Xenopus tropicalis: one gene and its partners. The protein of the gene in region 1 purifies or fractionates together with the protein of each later gene. This does not show direct contact. Links are inferred from orthologs where the notes say so. Each region holds a gene or a part of one and is shown on either strand. Other genes may lie near its edges.

Region 1 (6,984 bases):
CAGTTATCTGGAAACCTGTTGTCCAGAAAGCAATGCATTACGTAAAGGCCATCTCCCATAGACTCCATATTAAATAAAGAATTACAATTTTAAAAAATGATTTCCTTTTTTTATGTACTATTAAAACAGTACCTTGTACTTGATCCCAACTGATATAACAAAAGGTTTGTAGATCCAAAGTAAGGAAAGCCCCCTTATCTGGAAAACACCAGGTCCAAGGCATTCTGAAAAATAGGTCCCATACCTCTACTGGAATAATCAGTCTTGCTTTAGGGGAGAAAATATTTGATAATGCAGATACTTTTAATAAGTATGATAAAACAAAGACATTCTGATTCATAATAGCCTGCAGGTTAAGGACAATAGCATACAGGCCATTTTTGAGTGTTTTGTCTCCCAGGCATCTTTTAACACTGAGGGCAGAACAGTCAAAACTGCATCTCCATTCGGCATGACATTGCCCTAACAGGGCAGAAAGAACTCTTTTGGAGACTGCACAGAATTTCCTATTTGTTAAGATGAAGTGTTCTCATATTTTTCTCCCTATACTTTAAGGACGATAGTGCTTTTAAGCCAACTTAAAAGCTCCACAAACAACTTCCTGTAAATGTACTTTTATTTTAGCTTAAAATGCTCTTGCTAGTATATTTGGGCTGAAAACATTCTGCGCCCATTGGTTTTAGGTGTTTCTCATTCAAGCGGGTTTGTAGCTGGTCCTTTTCTTTTTGAATCTAATTACTAGTAGGTACATTCTGTAGCCAGTAAGATAGTCACAAGGTAGAGGTACAGGTAGAATAGAAAGCAGCTGCCATTAGTGTCAGTTGTTTATGCAGTATGCCATATTTAGAGAATAAAAAGTAGACCATGTGGATCGAAATAAAGGATATTATTTTCCATAAAATGTATTAGCTGGCCTTGTAAGAGCAATTTTTATACAATCTTTACATTGAGGTATCTGATCATTTGCAGTGTCACTAAAAGAGAACCTTAACCCCTTCTGTATTTTCTTAACTAATATCACCTTCTTGTAGTCTCCTCCCCACAACTGCATTCTTGGCTCTCTCACTGGCTATGGAACTGTAGAGCAGCGAACTGGGGTTCTTGCTTCCCCTACGCTTTTCAAAGAATCACCAACCCGAGAGCCAGAAGCAGTATGTGACTAGGTAGAATAAGATGGCCACCAACCCCGCTGTGCTACTTTGCAGTTCCTTAGGCTGTCCAAGGGGCCAGGTAACTTTTAGGTGCAGGCATGGATGTAGGTAGGGAGGGCGTGCTTCTGCAGGGGGATGTTATTTTAAAAGCATACAGCAATGGAATGTTTTTTGTTCTAAGAGTAGTTTTTCTGTTTTCAGTAGTTCTACTTTAAGTGTGTACATTTGGTTATGATAGCTTTTTCATGTATATTAAATATTTGTTTTGTGAATTTTCCATAAACAGAGTTAATGATAACCATGGGTTATACCCGAGAAGAAATCAGCGACTCTCTAGTTAACCAGAAATATAATGAGGTCATGGCTACTTATCTACTGCTGGGTTACAAGTCATCTGAGGTATGAAATTCTACTGCTGTAGCTAGTCAGCCTATGATTACCTGATGATAATTGTGTCTGTATTGTTGAAAAATATACTAGTGAAACCAGAGTTTTACATATTTAGAGTTACAAATGTTGACTATAGGACAATGAAGTGTTTTCTGCCTTTTTTATGGCTTAACAAGAACTACAGACATTACCAGTATAAAACATAATGGCATTGTAACCAAGTTAAAACCATAAAGTGTGGTTCTAGAGAGGGCTTAGGTTTAATGGATACTGCCAAAAAAAAGTTGCTTGAAATCAATGCTGAATAGGAGCCGCACACACAAATACGATTAAAATGCACCTCCAAGTGATCTGCCATAGACAGTAGTTATGTGCGGGTTGGATATTTTTTGCCCAATCCTGAGAAGGGACTTTTATACTTGTGCCTGACCTGCCTTTTATGGTGACGTCAAAGAGGGCAGGATTGGCACCACGCTATCCCGACAAGGAGTCATGGGGATACCAGCTGCAGTGAGTTAAATTAACTGTGAATTGCTGCTGGTAAAGACACAACCTTGCCTGACCCAAACCCATTCTAGACACATTAGGTGATGCTTACAATTTTTTAATTATGGGCTTGTCCGACTGAAGACCCACAGGCCAGATGTGGCACTCCAAGAGATTGCGTTGAGTTCTTTGAATTACATTTTATTGTAGTCAGCTGCCTATGCATGTAGCTTATCAAATTATCAGGTGAAACAAGGGAGCTGATATTGAACTTTATGCAATAAAAAACATTTTTACATTCACTGGATAGACAAATGTATTTTTGGTGTAACTTCCCTTCTGTTGTGACAGAAAATATGGCCTGCACCACATTGTGGTTTCTTATTTATGTGAATTCTCATAACAAAAAAACTGATTTTTATCTTTTTGGACTCTTGAATCCAACAGTCTAATTTTTGTTTCTGTTTTTATTCTCAGACGGATAATGACAACTTAACTCTGAAGCCCAGACCCCCACCAGACGTCACTAATAGCATAGCCCCGTCACCTGCTCACAAAGTGCAGCGCAGTGTTTCAGCCAATCCCAAACAGAGAAGACTCAGTGACCAAGGTGGGTGCTTTATATTTTAATAAATATGTATATTTACTTTTTATTCCATTCCATGTGATGGATTTGTTTGTAAAACTGTAGGTGTGATTATTTGAGTTCTTCTCTGCTGCAGATTTCATGGCATCAGGAGTAGGTAGGTCGCCCCCTATTGGGCTAACTATGCAACAGATGACAAGTTTGTCCTTTTGCATTTCTCCACAGGAGGCAGTGAATACTTTCTTTTGCAAATTGTTCTTGCCAAAAAAATTGCTACCACAGTGTGGCAGTGAGGTACTGCTTAGCCATACAACCAGTTTACATGAAACAAAGGGCTGAGAGTTGATGATGAAGGGTGAGCCAACCCGAGAGAGACCAGTGCTGTTTTTTTTTAACATTAAAGTAAAATTTTCCTAGCAACAGGGCATTAGCCTCAGAGCAATAGTTTTTTTGTTTTGTTTTGTTTTTTCCTAAAATCATCATTTTGTGTTATTTTACTCTGAACCAGCAATACTTGCAGCAGAACTTAGTTCCTAGTGTGCTCTTTCTGTCCATTCTGCTGGTTTCAGATACCTTGCTCGATTTCCTGTGAGGCAGTGAGTTTTTTTTGTGGTTTTTTTTCTCCAAACAATTACTTAATCTATTATTCTGGTTACTATTTGTTTTTTTTTTTTTGTTTGTTTTTAAATGTTTTGCTTGATGTATATTTGATTACTTTTATTTCATTAGAGTTGCTACTATATCCAATTCAGTCCCTGTTACCAACATTGCCCTATGCATGTATTTTATATTTGCGGTACTTTCATCATATATTGTAATAAAATGTGCTTTTTATTATTTTGTTGACATACATTCAAAATGAATATTCTCTGCTCAATCGTTCAACAATTGTTCAGACCTATTTTTGGGTTAAAAAAATTGATAAATCGTTGATCAAATGGTAAATTGATGAACAATACGTCCATAACATTATTTGTCTCTCTCAGCTGGACCAGCCATCCCCAACTCCAATTCCTACTCCAAGAAGACCCAAAGCAACAATGCTGAAAACAGGCGATCTGAGGATGACAAAGAAAGTGGGCGCAAGTCCAGCAGTACTGTCCGAGTTCCACCAAGTCCTCTTTCTGGGCTTGACAGAAAGAAGACAACACCAACCCCATCTACGGTCAGTTCTTGAAGACCCAGTGTTATATTTGCCTGTATTGTTTAATATTACTTATTGTGTGAGAATGAAAGAGTCTCTGATATAGTACAAACAATGTTTTTGTGTTTTTTTTTATGGTAATTAATTCAGGGAGGAGTTGATGTCACAGCCATGGGCAACATTCAGCACTCCAGGTTAATGGCCGCTAACTTTAGGGTATATGCTTAATTAAACAGTTCTATAGTTATCTTTACATTCTCTTTATTATGTAGTATTTTTTTTTTTTTTTACAGTGAACTAATCAAAATGTTTATCAGTGAAGTCATTGAAATTAATAGAAAACTAAACAGATAGCAAGGGGTCAGATTAATGTATTTATTTTATGCCTAAGGTGATATTAATTTTAGAGTAGTGTTGGTTAAACAAGGCTCTGGCATGCAGCTGATGAGTTGATCATGGACTGGGTCCATATACACAAATTTTCAGATATTTTCTGCAGAGCACAATAGGATATTTATTATTTGCCAGTGCTGGTTTGTATTTAAGGTGTGCTAGCTTTGTGCCTTGCTTAGTCATAACATGACCAGAAATACAGTATGTAGTGGATTATGTAAAGCAACCACCTTCTGACAATTGATATTAATGGTTAAGTACCCCCTGATGAATTGTTTCTTCACCCTTTGATGGCAAAGGAAAGGGAAATTCACTTGGGGTGCCAATGTGTTAGACATCCCCAATGAACGTTATCCTTAACTTCCACCATCTTGTGCAATGCTCCTCTGTGCTTTCCAGATAGCGTACATGTGCAGTAGAGTAAAATTTGTGACTTCAAAGTTTAAGCCTGGTCTTTACTGTACTGTGCAAGTGCGGTATTCGGATGAAAATCAGTGGGGCATTGGCAGCAGTGTGCAGCAGGAATACACCCAGGGCAATCTAAGGTAAGTGATGATATTTACTGGGATGTGTCTAACACATTGGCACCCTTTGAATTTCCCTTTTTCTTGTCCTTAAATACATAAATAAATAACTTCTGATTGCCAGTCACTTTCCTCCTTACATAATAGCAGTGGTTCCACAGGACTACTTGAAACTTTTAGATAATTAAAAATGTTGGAGTAGTTTCTGTTTTGTCCTGGCTAGACTCATCTTCTTAAAACTGTACCTAGTATGCACATATACAAAAAACAATTGTTTTACCTTGCAAATCCTGTGGATCTCTGTGATACTGCTCTTAAATAGGTTATTCTAAGAAGTAGTATTTCTAAGACAGTAGGGCTACATAGGGTACTGATTTCTGTACCTTGATTTTAGCTTTGATGTTTAAAAATGTTAATGTACAGGAATTCAAAGTATATCTGCAGATATGTGAATATGTAAATTGTGTGCAAATATGGCTGACTTTCATTATATAAATACCCTTGCAAATTATTTTGCTAGAATATCTATCAAACCTCTAGTGTCCTATGACTGCAGTCCATGCAGTTGTGTTCATACTGTTTTTTTCCTCAAAGTGGTGAGAATGTTGTTTTTGTGCATAGAGAGCATTGTGTGAGTTTTAAATATCAGATGCTCTTCCCCTCTACATTCAAATAGTCTGTTTAATTGCTGTTTTTTTTTTTGCCACTTTGCAGAACAGTGTACTTTCTACTGGCACTAATCGCAGTCGCAACTCGCCAATGCTGGACAGAGCCTCACTTGTGCCTGGATCTGTACAGAATGGAAAGGATAGGTAAGAAATTTGTCTTACCTTAATACTTTATATTATTCCATGTCTTTCTTCTTCTAGTAGTCTGGTATAACAAAGGTGTCAGATCTTTAGTCTAAGCTACTGATAGCTGTGTTAGGCTCACAATGGAACATACCTTCTGCAAAACGCTTCTATGCAATTCGCTACTTTTATCATTTATAAGCCTTCAATCACAATGAAACACATTTATATTTGCTACCATGAACACGCCAAGATTGTATCATCCCACAAGTGTCATGGAATATTATTAGCCCATGTTGTATCATCAGTGCATTCTCACCTTGTGATCTCTAGAAAATATATGTCCATAATACCTAGTCTTGTGTATCCCCCAGTGGAAGAAGTTCATTTTGTGTTGAAAGCCTTTTCATTACAGAAATCTCAGTGTCTCCCTTCCTCATTCTTTCCTAGTCTGTGTCTCCATTTTCTGTTTTGTTTCTCCATTTGAATATCACTCTCAGCTTCTCTACACCTGGGTCCCGTGCCTCCACCGCTTCTGCCCCAGCCACCTCTGCTCGGATCCGACAGCACCAGAAATCCATGTCCACTTCTGTGCACCCTTCCAAACCCGCTCCTTCCCTGGATGGAAACTGTGAAGTTCAAAGGCCAAGGCAAGTCTAAAAGGGACAAAAGAGCATAGATGAAGAACATAGATTATAACTTAACTTTTGCAGGCAGTGACTGGAGAATTTAGTGGCAAGTAATATATTCTGTATGACCGATGTAAATTTAGATTTATATTTATTACACATCATCATATTATTAACTGATATAATAATGTACAAATATGTATTTCCTTTCAAAGGGCATGACAACCCCCTTCTCCCCCCCCCCCCCAAAAAAAATGTTTGCCAATAAATTTACAAAAACATAATTCTAAACAACTTTCCCATATACATTTATTACAAATTTCAGTGGTTTAACAGTTATTTGTAAATGTAACAGCTATTACAATTACATTTGCTTAACTTCTGGTTATGACAATTTAAACAATGTTGCAAAAGTCAGTCTCCTCCAGCAAAGGTATGCCTTTTAATCAGCTGTCTTGTCTTACTGTTCCAAAGTCAGAGCCACCAGGGCAGAGAACAGAAAGGGACAGACAAACCACTGAAAATTTCTAATGAATTTATATTGCAAAGTTGCTCATGATAATTATTTTTTTTATTAGGTAAAATGTTACTTTTCTATTGACATGCCCTTCATTTTCAAGTATATGTTAGGGTTCACCAAACTATTTTTTTAACATTATTGTAGGTGTGAGCATATAGAACTCTTCATTCTACTTACTCACTGTACCAAGCATTTCAAAGTTCAGTATATAGAAAAAATATGGTTTTGTAAATCTATATATCTCAAGTACCGTAATAGTCAAAAGGGCCCTTTTAATTTTAGTGAGTGAATTTCTTCTCTAATTAAATTTCATCTCTAATTGGTTGCTGTGGGTTACTACGGGGGGCAGATTTGGGTGGTGTTTTTAAAT
Region 2 (6,560 bases), on another chromosome or scaffold:
CAACCATCCATATGTTTTGCTACTTGCCCATGTTTTTGCTTCTAATTGAAAAACAGATTATACCTGTACATCTATAACAATAACATTAAGACAAATTTGAATGAAACTGCCATGCTGAGACATAAGCCTGTGGGAAATCATAGGATGTAACATTCACAGGTCAAAGATTATTTCACTTAATAACAAATGCTGAACATATCAAAGCAATATGAAAATGTTGCCTTTATATAAAAAGCACCTTGTTGTTAATGGCATTGTTAAAGAAATAATAATTGTTTGCATAGCCACTTAACAGTGCTGTCGAATTTCAGGGCTACAAAGCTGTGTTTAAAGAAGGCTCTTTAAGGCTGGGTCCTTTCTTTCTGTGGGAAAATTATCTCCAGGGCGGAGTATCTGCCTTCTTTGCTCTCACAGCTTCCAGTTTTTTCATTAATAATAGAAACCACATAGAAGATAATCCTACTATCTCCAAAATGTAACATTAATAGCTAAGTACCCCACTGGCTCCACTTGCAAGCTGCACTTACCTGTTGTTTTCTGTATGTTTTATTTATAGTTAAAAATTACTTTTAAATTGCAAAAATAAAAACTTAATAGTAACAACCACATATATGTTACAAAGTCATATCCCATAGACAAACCCTTGGGTGGCAAGTATAATGTTCCTTTAAAGATTGTTGGAAAACAAGAGGAAATGAGAATGTCCTTTTACAACCCTTTTGATAGAATTAAAATATGTATTTATTATTTAGGTACAAAGCTATACATGTGCTCACAGATGTATTTCCACGTGAGTATAGGACACGGTGGTGGTGTTTCAGTTAAGATTTGAATCAGAGTGTCCAAAATCTATCTCTACTGATTTTCTATTTTCTGTTGTTATAAAATCACAGTGATTGAGCTTAACCTTCTTTTTTCAATGAGAGCCTGCACAAAATCAATTCTATGCACATGTTGAACTAACTCAAACTGAGATTGCATATGTGCTCTGGTACTCACAGTGCAACCATTTCTCCCAAATGAAAGCAAGATCAGTCTATTTCCTCCGGGTCAAAGTCTTGTGGGGTTTGCCAGTTCTACAACAAGGTGTGCTAGTGAGAGGGCTAAATTCCTATCTGTACTCATTTTAAGCTTGTTCCACCTAAAATGCTACTAAGTTAGTACTCACAGGGTATTTATGTAGTTCACAACAGATAGAGGGCTGCATAAGGCTAATGCCAGATGGGGCTTATTCTCAGTCTGCAGATAAACACAGAATGAGAATTAGCCTCTATGCTGGCATCAGCCTCTCTTTGTGCCTGCACTTGGATCCATTGCGTCGACCCGGGGGCAGGTACACAGAGATGATTGTAGCACCAAAATGTAGCATACTTGTGCATTTTGGAACCAAAATCTGCTTCGGGTGCAGGACCAGGGAAAGGCTGTTGCCTGCGTAGGGGCTGATTCTGGCATTATCTTAAAGGAGACGTATCCTATAAAAACTATGAATGTACCAGTGAATTATACTCCTCTAGATATAGAAGGATTGTGCTTTAAAAAGTTGTGTTTCCTGCTGATTTATTGAGAAATTCCACCAAAACCCCACTAGCCCCGCCCATCGGTTCCACTTCCTGCTGGCTGAATTCTCTGGATGAGCTGGGGAGCCGGCGGCCCTCCGTACACTGCACTGTAGGATAGGAACCAATCAGCAGCTAGGCTGACCTGATAGGGAACTGAAGCCTGTCTTTGCTTGCGTGAGTGCAGGGTTGTGATTGGCTCTCTCCCTCCTACTGTGCTTCTGGCAGGGACCGTTAGGACACGCCCACTCTTCATTTCAAATGTGGTCGGAGAAGTGATACGATCTATAGGGAGCTCCAATAAAGGGGCCATTGTTGCAGAGAGGATTAATGTTTAGCCCAAAGGGAAACCAGCACCATATATTATTCATAATTCCAATATGTCTCCTTTAAGACTGATACCTGGATTTTTCTTGGTTCTTTTTTGGTTTCCATCTGTATAATCATTTAAAGAGGGGCTGTTGGCACTGGAAACCACTAACTCCATCTATTGGGTACTTTTTTCCTCCTTTTTATTACAGAGCCCTTTGATTTACTCAAAATACGACAATATCTGTTGTCTTACTAACAATGTAATGTGTGTACATGCAACTAAAAACATTTGTATACTCTTATGTATTATGCATTTTGCGTTATTGTGTCTGCTTACAAGGTTATTAATATGGTTGTCTGGGCCACCCAGTCACAGGCGCGGTAACGCAGAATACATGACATATAAGATATTTTCAGCTAGAGCACCTGTCAATCCAGCCGATCGTATATTGCCCGATCATGTCTTCAGGGAAGAAACCAAGCACCTGCTTGCCCACCCACAACATTGCAGCACAGTTACCTACACACCAACGTCTGTCAACTTGAAGTCAGTGAGGAATGTCAGGTGTGCTGAGGATCAGCCTGCACAGCAGCCCCACGCAACTCCATGCACATGCAGCAGGTGTGATGGAACGGGCAGTTAAAAGCAATGAGCAATGTATGACATCAATGAGGGGGGACAGGTATTGGACAAATAAGGAAGGAATAGTGTAGGTAATAGGGTGATGGTATTACATATACAACACAGTACAAAAGTTGACTGGAGGGCAGGTGTAAAGGGTAGATTATCTGGAAGAGAAGGTGAGAAAATGTAAGGGAAGATAGCTATGGGGGGGGGGGGAGAAAGAATAAGGTGACGAGGAAGTGAAACAGTTTGACCTAATATTCTTAGAAAAAAACAAGAGTATAAATACATTTTTACCAAAATTTTGTTTGGCTTACTACCCCAGAATAGATAGTTCAGAGTGAGGGCACATTGTTCTGTGCAGGGAACCTGTGTTACTTTTACTACATTGCTTCTGGTTATTAGCCCTCCTTGAATGCTATTCTATTTACATGCTGAAAATGTGTTACCTACGAACAAGAATATTAAAAATGTGTAATATGTGTGACCTATGAATTAAGAAAATTACTGTTTATTATATATGGCCAGGATGTTTGGTAGGCATTTCCAGCTAACAATATGTGTATAGATACTTTATTGTATTGTAACTCTTGGATTTTCATTTCTGTTTTGTTCAATGTTTTGTTTGCTGACAGCCATTCTGGTATCGTCAAGAAATGAGAAGCCCTGGAATATCCTCTAATAATTATTTGTACTTTTCTTTTCCTTTCCAATCTACTTGCTTTCTTTCTGTCTATCCTGACTAGAACCAAACTGTCTTACTAACTGCTCCCTGGGGAGTCTAACTGCCTGCTACACTGCTGTAAGTCTCTTCTCTTCCTTTTTTTTATTGACTGGTGTGTTCTGAAACAGAGCCAAAATACACTGACATGTGGACATAACTATGGCCCTACTCGCATAAAATCTCCCCCTCCGAGTGTCTGACAGTCTCACAGCATTTGCTCCGGCTGTTCCTTTATAAGTCACTACTTTAAATATAGGCACAAACTATCCACAGACTAAACATAGGCAGAGCTAAGAAATGCAAATGTGAGCAAGACGCTAATCTGGTCTGGAAAATGGCAATCAGATTATGGAACCTGGCAACCAAGATTTAAAACAAAAGTCTTTTTCATCATCTGATAGCTATGACGGCCACTGGCTCTCCAGCCAACAGTGACCTACATAAGCAGCGTCCTCAGTCTCTCAGTGCTTGTTGGGAGTCTGCAGTCAGTATAGGAGCACCTTGGATCTGTTGTAGATCCCCAAGCTGGACTTGTCTTTTTTGCCTTTTGGGCATTAATTTTACTTCAAGATGTGTTTTTGAGGGCTCTTTTATCATTCATGTGTGTCCTGTTTGCTTCCCAGGCATTACATTTCCTCTTTTCTTTTCTCCAGGTTCTCTGTTTTCTCATTTCAACTTGTGCAACTTGTGCCCATTGTTCTCTAGCTCTGTTTACCTGCATCCACAGCAAGCACCCCCCATGCCATGTTTGTCACATATACAGATAACTGCTATCTGCCCTGTTGTATAAGCAGCTGCAAATATCTCTGCTGAACCACAACGCCATCCATCATGGGAGCTATAACTTCCTATAATATTTTAACAGTGCTCCCACTATGGCTAGGAAATAAGGACTGGCCTAAGGGTAGTGCCCATGCAGAATATATATTGTTTGTATGTGACTGTTCTGTTACAAATGCTTTCATTTGTTCTTACCATTTTCTCTAACCCCTACTAACGTTCAGGACATCTGAAATGTTCATAAGTCAATTTTCCACTGCTTTTAGAAACCTTCTAAACTCACTCCAACAGTCTGTATTATTTTTTATTCTGTATGTTTATACTTCATTCAGACTTACTAATAACAAATCACATTTCTGTTCTTTACGTCTAAAATGTGCATTTATTCACTGGATTTTAACTATATTAACTCTTTCTTTGTAAAGTTGCCTCCTTGCTCTCAGTAACAGAATTTACTTATAAAATAGTCCCATAAATGCAGACAACTCTATAATATAAATTAGTTTCACTGCTGGGCCTATTGTATAGTAGCTTGAAGAAGAGGCTTTTTGGGGTGCTTCACTGTTATGCTCCCCTCAGCTCAAATGTGAGACAGATATTCATGGCCACATATACTGCTATGCAGCAGCCAATTGCAACCAATAATACATTTGTTTCATTAGGAGATTATGGAGGAAAATATGATTCAAAGCAACTTTTTCAATAGATTGAAAATGTAATTGTTTTTTTTGAGTTTATGGTAAACGTCATTTCACGATATTTATGTAGCTATTTATATTCTCTGTACGTCTTGTTCTGACTCCTGAAACAATCCAGCAGAAGCCAGCTGATTATTAGAACTGACTATACGACTATATTGTGTCAAAAGTCAGAACCAGGAATGAGTTGAAAGAACAGAAATGGATAAACACACACTGCTTCCAATTGCAATGGCATTTCTAAATCACTTTAAAATCACTGCAAATGTATTATAAATGTGTATTGGAAAGTTGCTCAGCTGAATATTTTTAGGTGGTGGTTCTGTTTAATCTAAACATTATTATAAGTGACCAAGAAGCTGATGCATTTTGTACAGATTGGCCTTACCTGTACCAGTTACATGCTCATTCAGCAAGAGAAAATATAACCCTACTATTTTCTTGCTAAAATGATTGCCTATTAATATCACAGTGATTTGGAGCCACAAAGCAGTGTGTCTAAGATGTACCAATGTGTTTAGTGTTGCCCATGTGTTTGTACTTTACATATTGCTGATAATCTGCCTTCTACCAATACATTTTAGGTGTGTTTTGCCAAAAACTTGAACCAGTTATTGGAATCTCTCATTCTATCAGCATTATAAGTAGAATACATACACACATGACTCTATTCTCTTTGGGTACCAGTTGGTTATTATATGCTTTATATTTAAGGCACAAGCATATGCCACACTTGTTTACCAGTATTGATTAACTATTTACATTGGGAGCTTACAATATAATTTTCCCTACAGCCAACATTAAGTTAAAGAAAAATCCATTCATATACAGGTATTAGTGTATGTTTGGAGTGTGAGACAAAACTGAAGCACCCAGAGTAAACAGACAGACTCCACGTAATTTATGTTCTGGTCAGAGTTGAACCCTGGACCCGCAGTTGCTTACCCTGTGCATGCAGTAACTGAACTAATTATATTTTCTTTGCCTTGTTCTTGCCCAATAGAACGTTCAGGGTCAGTTGGGATCTGTATGCATGGCATAACCAACCCATAGCTCAAATCTGAATGCAAAACACACCTGGATGTGAGCAGCACCTCATATAATCTTTGTCTTTTATTGCATTTTCTTCCTTCTATCACTATCTTTACATTATGGGAACATGTAAAGCATTGGAAAAGCAGTTAAAAGGGGTCTTTAGTATTGTTAAAAGAAATTTAATTCTAAGCAACTTTATATTAAGGCTGCCTATCTGTGATCTGTACCAAATACATTTAAATAATTATCTTTTTGTACGCACCTCTCTGTTGCCCCCTTGTGGTGACATGGGCAGAGGTTGTGCAGGAAGCACACACAGGAGCATATAACGTGGCCACCAACACCAGGGAAGGGGATCACAGAGGTCAGAAACATGTGGACATGGGTTACCCCAAGAGAAAAGTCAAATAAAATAGCTGAGGCTATGGAAGACAGCACCTAAGGCATAGATCTCCCTTGTCTTAAGGCTTTTAACACACTTTATACTTGTCATTTATTTTTCCCTGGGAAAAAGAAAAGTTTTAAAATGTATTTATTTGAGAACCTATCCAAAAAGCAGCTGTGATAGACAGCAATTATCATCCCTAATATTTCAAATACAAACTTATCATGTTTTGTTATTTGGATATCACAATGTCTGTGTTGTATTGCTATTCAATATTAACCATAATTTGCCTATAGGATGCCCTCAGATGATAGTGTTTCTCACCTTGTGTTCCTCAGACTAAATGCCATTGTCAGACTGTATCACTTCATGTCTCACCCCCCAGATATGTGCATGATTACTGTTCCCTGTTATATCACTTCATTGTTTTTTGTTGTTCATTCTA
Region 3 (7,784 bases), on another chromosome or scaffold:
GTAATAAATTTTATTTGGTAATTTGTATTTACCATATAGATACCTATATAGACTGCTGCCCCCCTAGGCATGGGGGTCTGGAGAGTCTATATTGTAAATATGGCCCCGGCAGACACAACTTTCCCTTTTTGCAGTAATGTATACGGGTGCAAGTGGCCTGGCCAGGTCCATGTTGTTGGTCACAGCATTACTGTCAGGTGAGCTCTGTGGTCTACAATAAAATCGGTAGTTATTTGGGAATTTTTACCTTGTAAAGCAAGTTGCGGTTAAAACTTTATGAATCAGATGAAAGGAGTGGTCAGACCAGAAATCAGTTGGCCAGCTTGAATATAATATATGGATAAACAATCCCTGTTTCAAGTGCAGGCATTTTTTGGTAGCTGTATGCATAAAATTTGTCCGAAGTATATTAATATAGGTAAGTACAGAGAATTTATTGTCTTTGTCTCTCTCATTAGGGTAAGCGATTCAGTCGCCGTGATAGATCTCTGCTATCGGAGGCGACTGCTGCTCCGAAATGGCTTTACACCTGCAACAATTGGAATTAGTATTCCAAAATTGAGCAAAGTTTCCTCCTGCAGGCAAGTTTGTGCGACTTCAGAAAACGAAGCAATGCAAAGAGATTTTTTTGCCAGTGGAAAGCCGTTTTTGGAGAGTTTAGTCGCCCGCAATAGCAGAGATCTATTGCAGGCAACTAAATTGCTCTGTGGATTCTTACCCTTATAATCACTGGGACTCAAAGGGATTTGTTAGCAAAATCATTGCATATTAATTTGTCAATGTATAGCCACAGAGACCTTACTCAAGTCTTTTTTATTAAAGATGGCTCCCATAAAGGCTATCTTGAGCTTTTTTTGTGTTTGAGATGTTTTTGCTTAAAATAAGCATTAACTGCAGCACATAACTATTTTTTTAGTCCAGTTTGTACCAGCTGTTTCCACCATACAGTAATATTGTTCCAAATTACCTTCAGGCTGAAGGGTTTCGGCATGGGCACCTGGACTCCTCACTAATGGTTTTGGTGAGTTCACCCCCAGAGTACTTAGTTTTAGGAAACCTTTTTTTTGTTTTTTTATTAACGCACTGGTGATGTGACAGAATAAGAGATAAAAACACCAGATTATTCTGGGCCTGGCCTTCTTGCTTCCAGGAGCAGGCCATCAAATGATGGTGTCACAGAGTCTCCACTGAGGATGCAGTGGTTACCATCCTTTTTGTTAAGACACAAAAAAATTGTAGTGCAGTCAACCAGAAGGGACACAAATGGGCATTAATGGTTCACAAAGACAGTCCTAAAAAATTGATAGTGAGGTGGAGAATTTGAACATAAAGATACTGTAGATGTCCCTCACATCAGCAACTTACATTCTTCCATTCCTTACGGAACCTTACACCTTGCAGACATTGCAACACAGCCTTTCACAACTCCAGTCTGTTCTAAATGCTGTTGCCAGATTCATTCATCTCAACGATCCACATCAACTGCTCCCTATACATATCCCTTCACTGGATCCTGGTCTCTTCTAAAATCAAATTTAAATTACTGGGGCTCATTTAAGGCACTTATCAATGAAGCCCCTCTCTATATCGCAAGTCTGATATTAAAATACACTCCTTCATGCAACCTACATTCTGCTTATGACCTTCGCCTCTCTTCTCCTCTCATCACTTCATCCCATTCCCGACTGCAAGACTGCTCTCTGGCTTCTGCCCGTCTCTGGAACTCTCTGTCTAAGGGCTCTGGCACACGGGGAAGATTAGTCGCCCGCGATTAACTCCCTGTTCGCGGGCGACTAATCTCCCCGAGTTGCCTAGCCCTGCCATCCCACCGGCGAACATGTAAGTCGCCGGCGGGATGGCAGACGCGGCGGGGCGATTTCCGGAAGTCGCCGAAAAAGACTCACTAGAGGTTAAAAAGAAAGACTAGATAACCTATTCATCGATGCAACCTAGCCTACAAACTATATATTATATAGGTAACAGACTCAAGCAAGTTCCAGGGGGAGCGTTCCCTTGAGGCTGCCATACACGGGCCTATTTTAACTGACGATATATTTTAGACCGATTCAGCAGCTTATCTGCCCATGTATGGGCACCACTGGTGGCCTCCCTAACCGACATGTAGCCTGAAATTGGCCAGATCGTGATCAGGCAGGTTGGATTTTTCCATTGGATCGGGGACTGCATCAGCTTATTGATGTTGTCCCCGAACAGATGGTGCCTATGCCCACTGTTTTAATTTGATCATTTGGCCCTAGGGCTGATATCGCCTACCTGTAGGTGAGAATATCAGGAGATCTGCTCACTTGGCAACCTTGCCAAACAAGCAGATCTTACAGTGTATGTATGGCCACATTTAGGTGGTGCAGCTGTTTGTCAATAAAGCAATCAATGTTATAAAAAGTTTTGAAAGTTGGAAATCTGTTTTACAGAGACTCTGCAGAGAAGTTCTAATTCATTTTTCAAATTACTTAAAATACATATAAACAATGGGAAAAAAACGCTTTTTAAAAATATTGTTGTAAGGACCCTTAAGAGCAAGTAGGGGCGCTTCTGAATGCTGCATAGTAAGTACCTGAGGCTAAAGAAGGATGTACAGCGATGAAATCCTTTCACATGAACAGTCGTACGTGCTTACTATAACCTGAAGGATGTCCTAAATGTACACAGTGGGATAATCGCATAATAGTTTTTGAGATGTTATTGGTCTACTAAACTAGTTCCTCCTGCAGCAGCACTGAAGCGGCACTGTGTGAGGCGGTTTGAAACGGTTGCTAGGCGGGCTTTAGAAGGGGGCGTGGTCTCACATATAGTTCCGGTCTCATGACAGTTTCAGATGTATACAGTCTGTGCCGGTGATGACAATGGAAGCAGTGCGGGGCTCTGGAACCGGTGGGCTCCTTTTTCTATGTGCTCTGGCCACTGTCCTGCCTTCTGGCTCCTCGCGTTACACTCCCAACTGGGAATCTCTGGATGCTCGGCCTCTTCCGCCTTGGTTCGATGAAGCCAAGTTCGGAATATTCCTGCACTGGGGGGTGTTTTCAGTGCCCTCATTTGGCAGCGAGTGGTTCTGGTGGAACTGGCATGAGCGCTCGGACGCCTATGTCAAGTTCATGGAGCAGAACTACCGGCCCGGCTTTACCTATGCAGACTTCGCCCCTCAGTTCACTGCAGAGTTTTACGACCCTGATGCCTGGGCGCAACTCTTCCAAGCAGCGGGGGCCAAGTGAGTTTTAGCTATTTATTGCTCGGCACTTGCTTTGTCTTTGCCCCAAATTATGCTTTTGAGCCGCGAACATGCATGGTGCTTAGCAATGCTGTTTAGCTCATTTCCTTGGTATATGTATATAATCATTTGTGTAACAATAATTTAACTGCCAGTCTGATAACCAAAATGTATGAACTTCACCATTCGTGTTGTGGTCCTAGCCTTCCTGCATTGCCATTGGGCTCTATGTCTTATATAGTTTGGGGGCAGAAAACAGTATGCATTTTGAGCCTAAAAATACCTGACAAGTAGATTCACTGGATTATGGGGTGCTATATGGAACACTATGGGGCTTGTGTATAACTTCAGGCAAGGGACAAAGCACCTCTAAACAAATCAGACACAAGGCACAAGCAGAGCACTGGTATGTTCCTCTTATGGCTGTTGCTTCTAGGGCATTAATAGGACCACTAACGTGTGCCCTTAGCCTTAGTGTGTTGAATACAGCAAATATGTATTTCTTTCAGGTACAGAAAATATATTTTGTGAAAGGAAATGGTTATTTTATCCCTTTAAAAGCCCTGTGCTGCCCCTGAATTTGCATTGTCTTCAGACCATTTGTGCAAGAGTTATGCAGACTAATGTATATTGGCTATTTTTACAGCTGCTGTATCCCACTCGAGCGCAGAGGCAGTCAAAATGCACCATAGGTTGTATTGTTCTATTGTTTGGCGTCATGGCATGTGATCCTTTTATTCAGAACTTCCTGGTCACACCTTGTTTTTGACTTTAATTTTTGCTCATGTGATTGAGCCATTGCAATACTGATAATTTTCAGAGGCAAGACTGTAACAACAAGCCTGTTGTCCCTGTGACTGGAGGGGGGTATTCTGGTCTCTTAGTGTAAAAATTAAATGGGTCCCTGACTCTTGTAAAAACTTTAATTTACTTGCTATTATTACAGAATGGCTTTTGTCTGCAAAAAAATAAAAAATTCTGTGGACCCCCATGTATCCATGTGAAATATCTTGTAGATATTGATATGCTGAGACAATTTCAATTGGTTTTAATTTGTTTTTTGTTTTTTTTGTTTTTTTTTTTGTGGTTGTGGACTGTATATGCTTGGAGTGTATGTATTGTACTGCAAGGATATCCTGCTACAATATATCCTGTCTGTAGACTTCCAGGTTTCTGTGCCAGTATATTCTCTGTTACTGTTATTTAATTGCATCTGTATTTTGTGTTGAAAACGTTATCATTTTTAAATACAGTCCCCTAATTCAGTAAAATTAAAAAAGGCACTCAGAATGTGGAAAAATCCTTGTAGAAAATGAGCCCCAGTTCATTCTAAGCATAAATATTGGCTAGCACCTGTTAGTGACAGATACAGATTTATAAAGCTTTAATACCTTTTAGCCCAATGGTTATGCATGAATCTATTTTTGTTCATAACACACAATGGGAACAATTTGGGGGTAATTTCAGTAAACAATGCAAAGCTGTACTCCAATCAGAAATATGTGTGCATTTATTGTGGTTTTCTTTTTAACTTGCAAGGTTACATTTTGCTGTAAATGAATCAGTACTTTTAGTCAAAGTTTTCAACATGGCTTTGTGACAAAATGAACGCTGGGCTTTAGTCACTCCTAAAATTAAATATACAAAAAGGTATTCTGTGTTTGCACCATAAAATATAACTTTTAATAAATACTAATTAATAGACCAATTTGTTAAAATAACTGATGACTTAATCGCAATAAAAATCAGTCTTCCTATCAACCCTGTAGGTCAATTAATGTACCTTCTACTCAATCGGGAAATCAACCTTATACATATTAATACAAGGAAATCACTACATTACTAAATGAATTGTTCTATTTGGCCTATGAACTTTATTTAATATAATCATGTATAAGCGTGATTTCCATGATCTGGCAGCCGCGTTTACCACCCTCTGCTGTGTGGCAAGAACCCCCACCTTGGAATCGTGCTGTTTTTTGATAGGTTAGTATGTGCTGTCACACGCTCACCAAAGACGTGATCTTTCAGACTGGAATAGCAAACTGTGCCAGCCAATAACTTATGCACTTGCATATAAGCCTCATGATGTGATGGCTGTAATCCAATGTAGTCAGTTTAATATGTTTAAAACTTTATCTGCAGATGCACCTTATCAGCCACTTTCTTTTATTTGCATGTTCCCCTGTCAAAGCATATTTGTTTAATTTTAAATTGACTTCTGGGCAGTCTCTAAACAAGTTTTGTTGCTTTGTTGAGGTATGTTGTCCTGACCACCAAGCACCATGAAGGTTTTACAAACTGGGGCTCCCCCGTGTCTTGGAACTGGAATGCAGTAGATGTTGGGCCACACCGTGACCTGGTTGGGGACTTCAGTGATGCGTTGAGAAAACGGTTTGTCACAAAAATATTCATGGTAAAGTTATAAATGTTTTATATCTTTTTTTGTCGCCTGCTTTAAAATTACCTTTCTTGCATTCTAGGAACCTGAGCGTTGGTTTGTACCACTCTTTATTGGAATGGTTTCATCCCCTGTATCTACTAGACAAAAAAAATGGCTTCAAGACACAGTATTTTGTTTTTTCCAAAACAATGCCTGAGCTCTATGACTTGGTTAATAGGTAAGGCCGCACAGAAATAATCTTTGTTACAGTGTCTGTCTGGCTAATTTCATTGCATGGCACAAAGCTCTGCTAGGGACATTTTGTTCCTCAATTTAAAGTGCTGATTTCCTGGAAACAAATTCCTCTTCAGTCTGCTGGTAGGTTACACAAGTTACTGGACTGTGACAAAGTTTCTGACACTTTATATTACACATTGTCTATCCCATCACAGCACTGCATCTACATTACTGGACATAGAACAAAGCATATGAATACACTAATGATTTTATGATTTGCTGACATAATTGGCAAAAGTCCATATCATATAATCCCATCTGTAGCAAGTCACAGCTGTCTAGTCTTTACCTAGCGTGGTGGATGCACTGTATGTTCCATTCACAAATTTCATCAACAGAACTGGGGTTTTTAAATACACCCCCCCCCCCCCCCACTTTTTTTTTTTTTTTTTTTAACCTGCTTCACTGTTAATGTCTTTCCTTTTATGTAGCGCCTTGGTTGCAGGATTCTGATGATCACAAATACTTTTTAACTTTTAACCCCACTTGTTAGCGCCATGCTCCACTCTATACCTACAAGCTTTTAGAATACAATTCATTTGTGGAAGATCTTATTTAGGATGTCCTGAAACTATTTACAGTTCACCAACTCATTAGGTTGTTTTAAAGGGGATATGTTGGATATAGTCAGGAGTAGAGATTCAAATGTATGATTATCATGTAAATGTTAACATGTGGCTGTAATTCATTTCTTATCATTGCAACTCAAAGTTATTTTATTTATCAGGTATAAACCAGATCTGATTTGGTCAGATGGAGACTGGGAGTCCCCTGATACCTACTGGAATTCCACTGACTTTTTGGCTTGGCTCTACAATGATAGTCCTGTCAAGGTACTTGCTTCTTACTCCATAATTGTCCTTTATTGTATACTTAACAGAAAGGGTTTTGGTTTTTTGTTTTTTTTTAATAACCTATATGTCACTTTGCCTTCTTGCCTTGCTTCTTCTGAAGAAAATCTGTGGTGACAAAATACCAGTCATAGCTATAAACAATTTCTCAGTATAGTATATTGGGAATGGCTGAGTGACATGCTTGCATTATTGTCTCCCAAAAAGTAATGTTCATTTATGGTAATAGTTCACATATGCTATACTCATGGAAGTCTGCACTTGCTGAAGAAAGGGAAAAACCAATCTCATGCAAAAGATAAATAAATGCTTTTAACAATTCCCTTTTATTTTTTAGTACTGTATATACTCAAGTATAAGCCTAGTTTTTCAGCACCAAAAATGAGCTGAAAAAGTCACCCTCGGCTTATACTCGAGTCGGGTGCCATGGGTCCCTCCAAACTAGCACCCTCTGTCCTTTGTGTGCAAATTAGGCCACCTGCAACCAGACCCTCCAGTGCCCTGGCCGCTCCCAAATTTATTTTCATCTATCATCCTCACCTGTCCCATTCTGCTCTAGACATTTCACTTTATATTCTGCATAAACTATATATAGTTTTGAAGGATTTTAACTCTTTGTGTTTTAGCTTGGTTGCTGAGTACTCTTAAGGTATCATTGTTGATAAAACAATTGTTTTTGTTGACCCTCCACTTACAGAGCTAATTTACAGTTTTTATTTGAAATAAATATTTAAAAACATATACCCCACTGATGCCTCATTTAATGTAATTTTATTGGTATTTATTTTGATAAAACTTAGCAGTAGCTGCTGCATTTTTCACCCTAGGCTTATACTCAAGTCAATAAGTTTTTCCAGTTTTTTTTTAGGTAAAATTAGGTACCTCGGCTTATATTCGGATCGGCTTATACTAGAGTATATACGGTATTTTAAAATATTTCCTAATATGTACTTTTTTTTTAAGTAAATTAGTTTATTTACCTTGTTACATTTCACAGTAGCAGCTCATCAAGCCTGATCATGTATTG

The links.
Region 2: the proteins of mark2 (region 1) and mtcl1 purify together in Homo sapiens (affinity purification with mass spectrometry; 5 studies listed by BioGRID and IntAct, with this or other methods). This does not show direct contact. The link is inferred for Xenopus tropicalis from reciprocal best matches to the Homo sapiens genes MARK2 and MTCL1.
Region 3: the proteins of mark2 (region 1) and fuca1 purify together in Homo sapiens (affinity purification with mass spectrometry; 3 studies listed by BioGRID and IntAct, counting the BioPlex papers as one, with this or other methods). This does not show direct contact. The link is inferred for Xenopus tropicalis from reciprocal best matches to the Homo sapiens genes MARK2 and FUCA1.

What each region holds. Positions count from the first base shown.
Region 1 is NC_030680.2:36,153,637-36,160,620, reverse strand, and holds part of mark2 (serine/threonine-protein kinase MARK2), read left to right. Parts: intron 1-1,437; coding exon 1,438-1,550; intron 1,551-2,504; coding exon 2,505-2,637; intron 2,638-3,599; coding exon 3,600-3,778; intron 3,779-5,388; coding exon 5,389-5,486; intron 5,487-5,965; coding exon 5,966-6,115; intron 6,116-6,984. UniProt on the Homo sapiens protein: Serine/threonine-protein kinase. Involved in cell polarity and microtubule dynamics regulation. Phosphorylates CRTC2/TORC2, DCX, HDAC7, KIF13B, MAP2, MAP4 and RAB11FIP2. Phosphorylates the microtubule-associated protein MAPT/TAU.
Region 2 is NC_030682.2:104,944,323-104,950,882, reverse strand, and holds part of mtcl1 (microtubule cross-linking factor 1), read left to right. Parts: intron 1-752; coding exon 753-790; intron 791-2,208; coding exon 2,209-2,490; intron 2,491-3,239; coding exon of another isoform or gene 3,240-3,278; exon of another isoform or gene 3,279-3,295; intron 3,296-6,560. UniProt on the Homo sapiens protein: Microtubule-associated factor involved in the late phase of epithelial polarization and microtubule dynamics regulation.
Region 3 is NC_030678.2:90,716,257-90,724,040, reverse strand, and holds the start of fuca1 (tissue alpha-L-fucosidase precursor), read left to right. Parts: upstream 1-2,853; 5' UTR 2,854-2,858; coding exon 2,859-3,226; intron 3,227-5,485; coding exon 5,486-5,620; intron 5,621-5,709; coding exon 5,710-5,847; intron 5,848-6,633; coding exon 6,634-6,739; intron 6,740-7,784. UniProt on the Homo sapiens protein: Alpha-L-fucosidase is responsible for hydrolyzing the alpha-1,6-linked fucose joined to the reducing-end N-acetylglucosamine of the carbohydrate moieties of glycoproteins.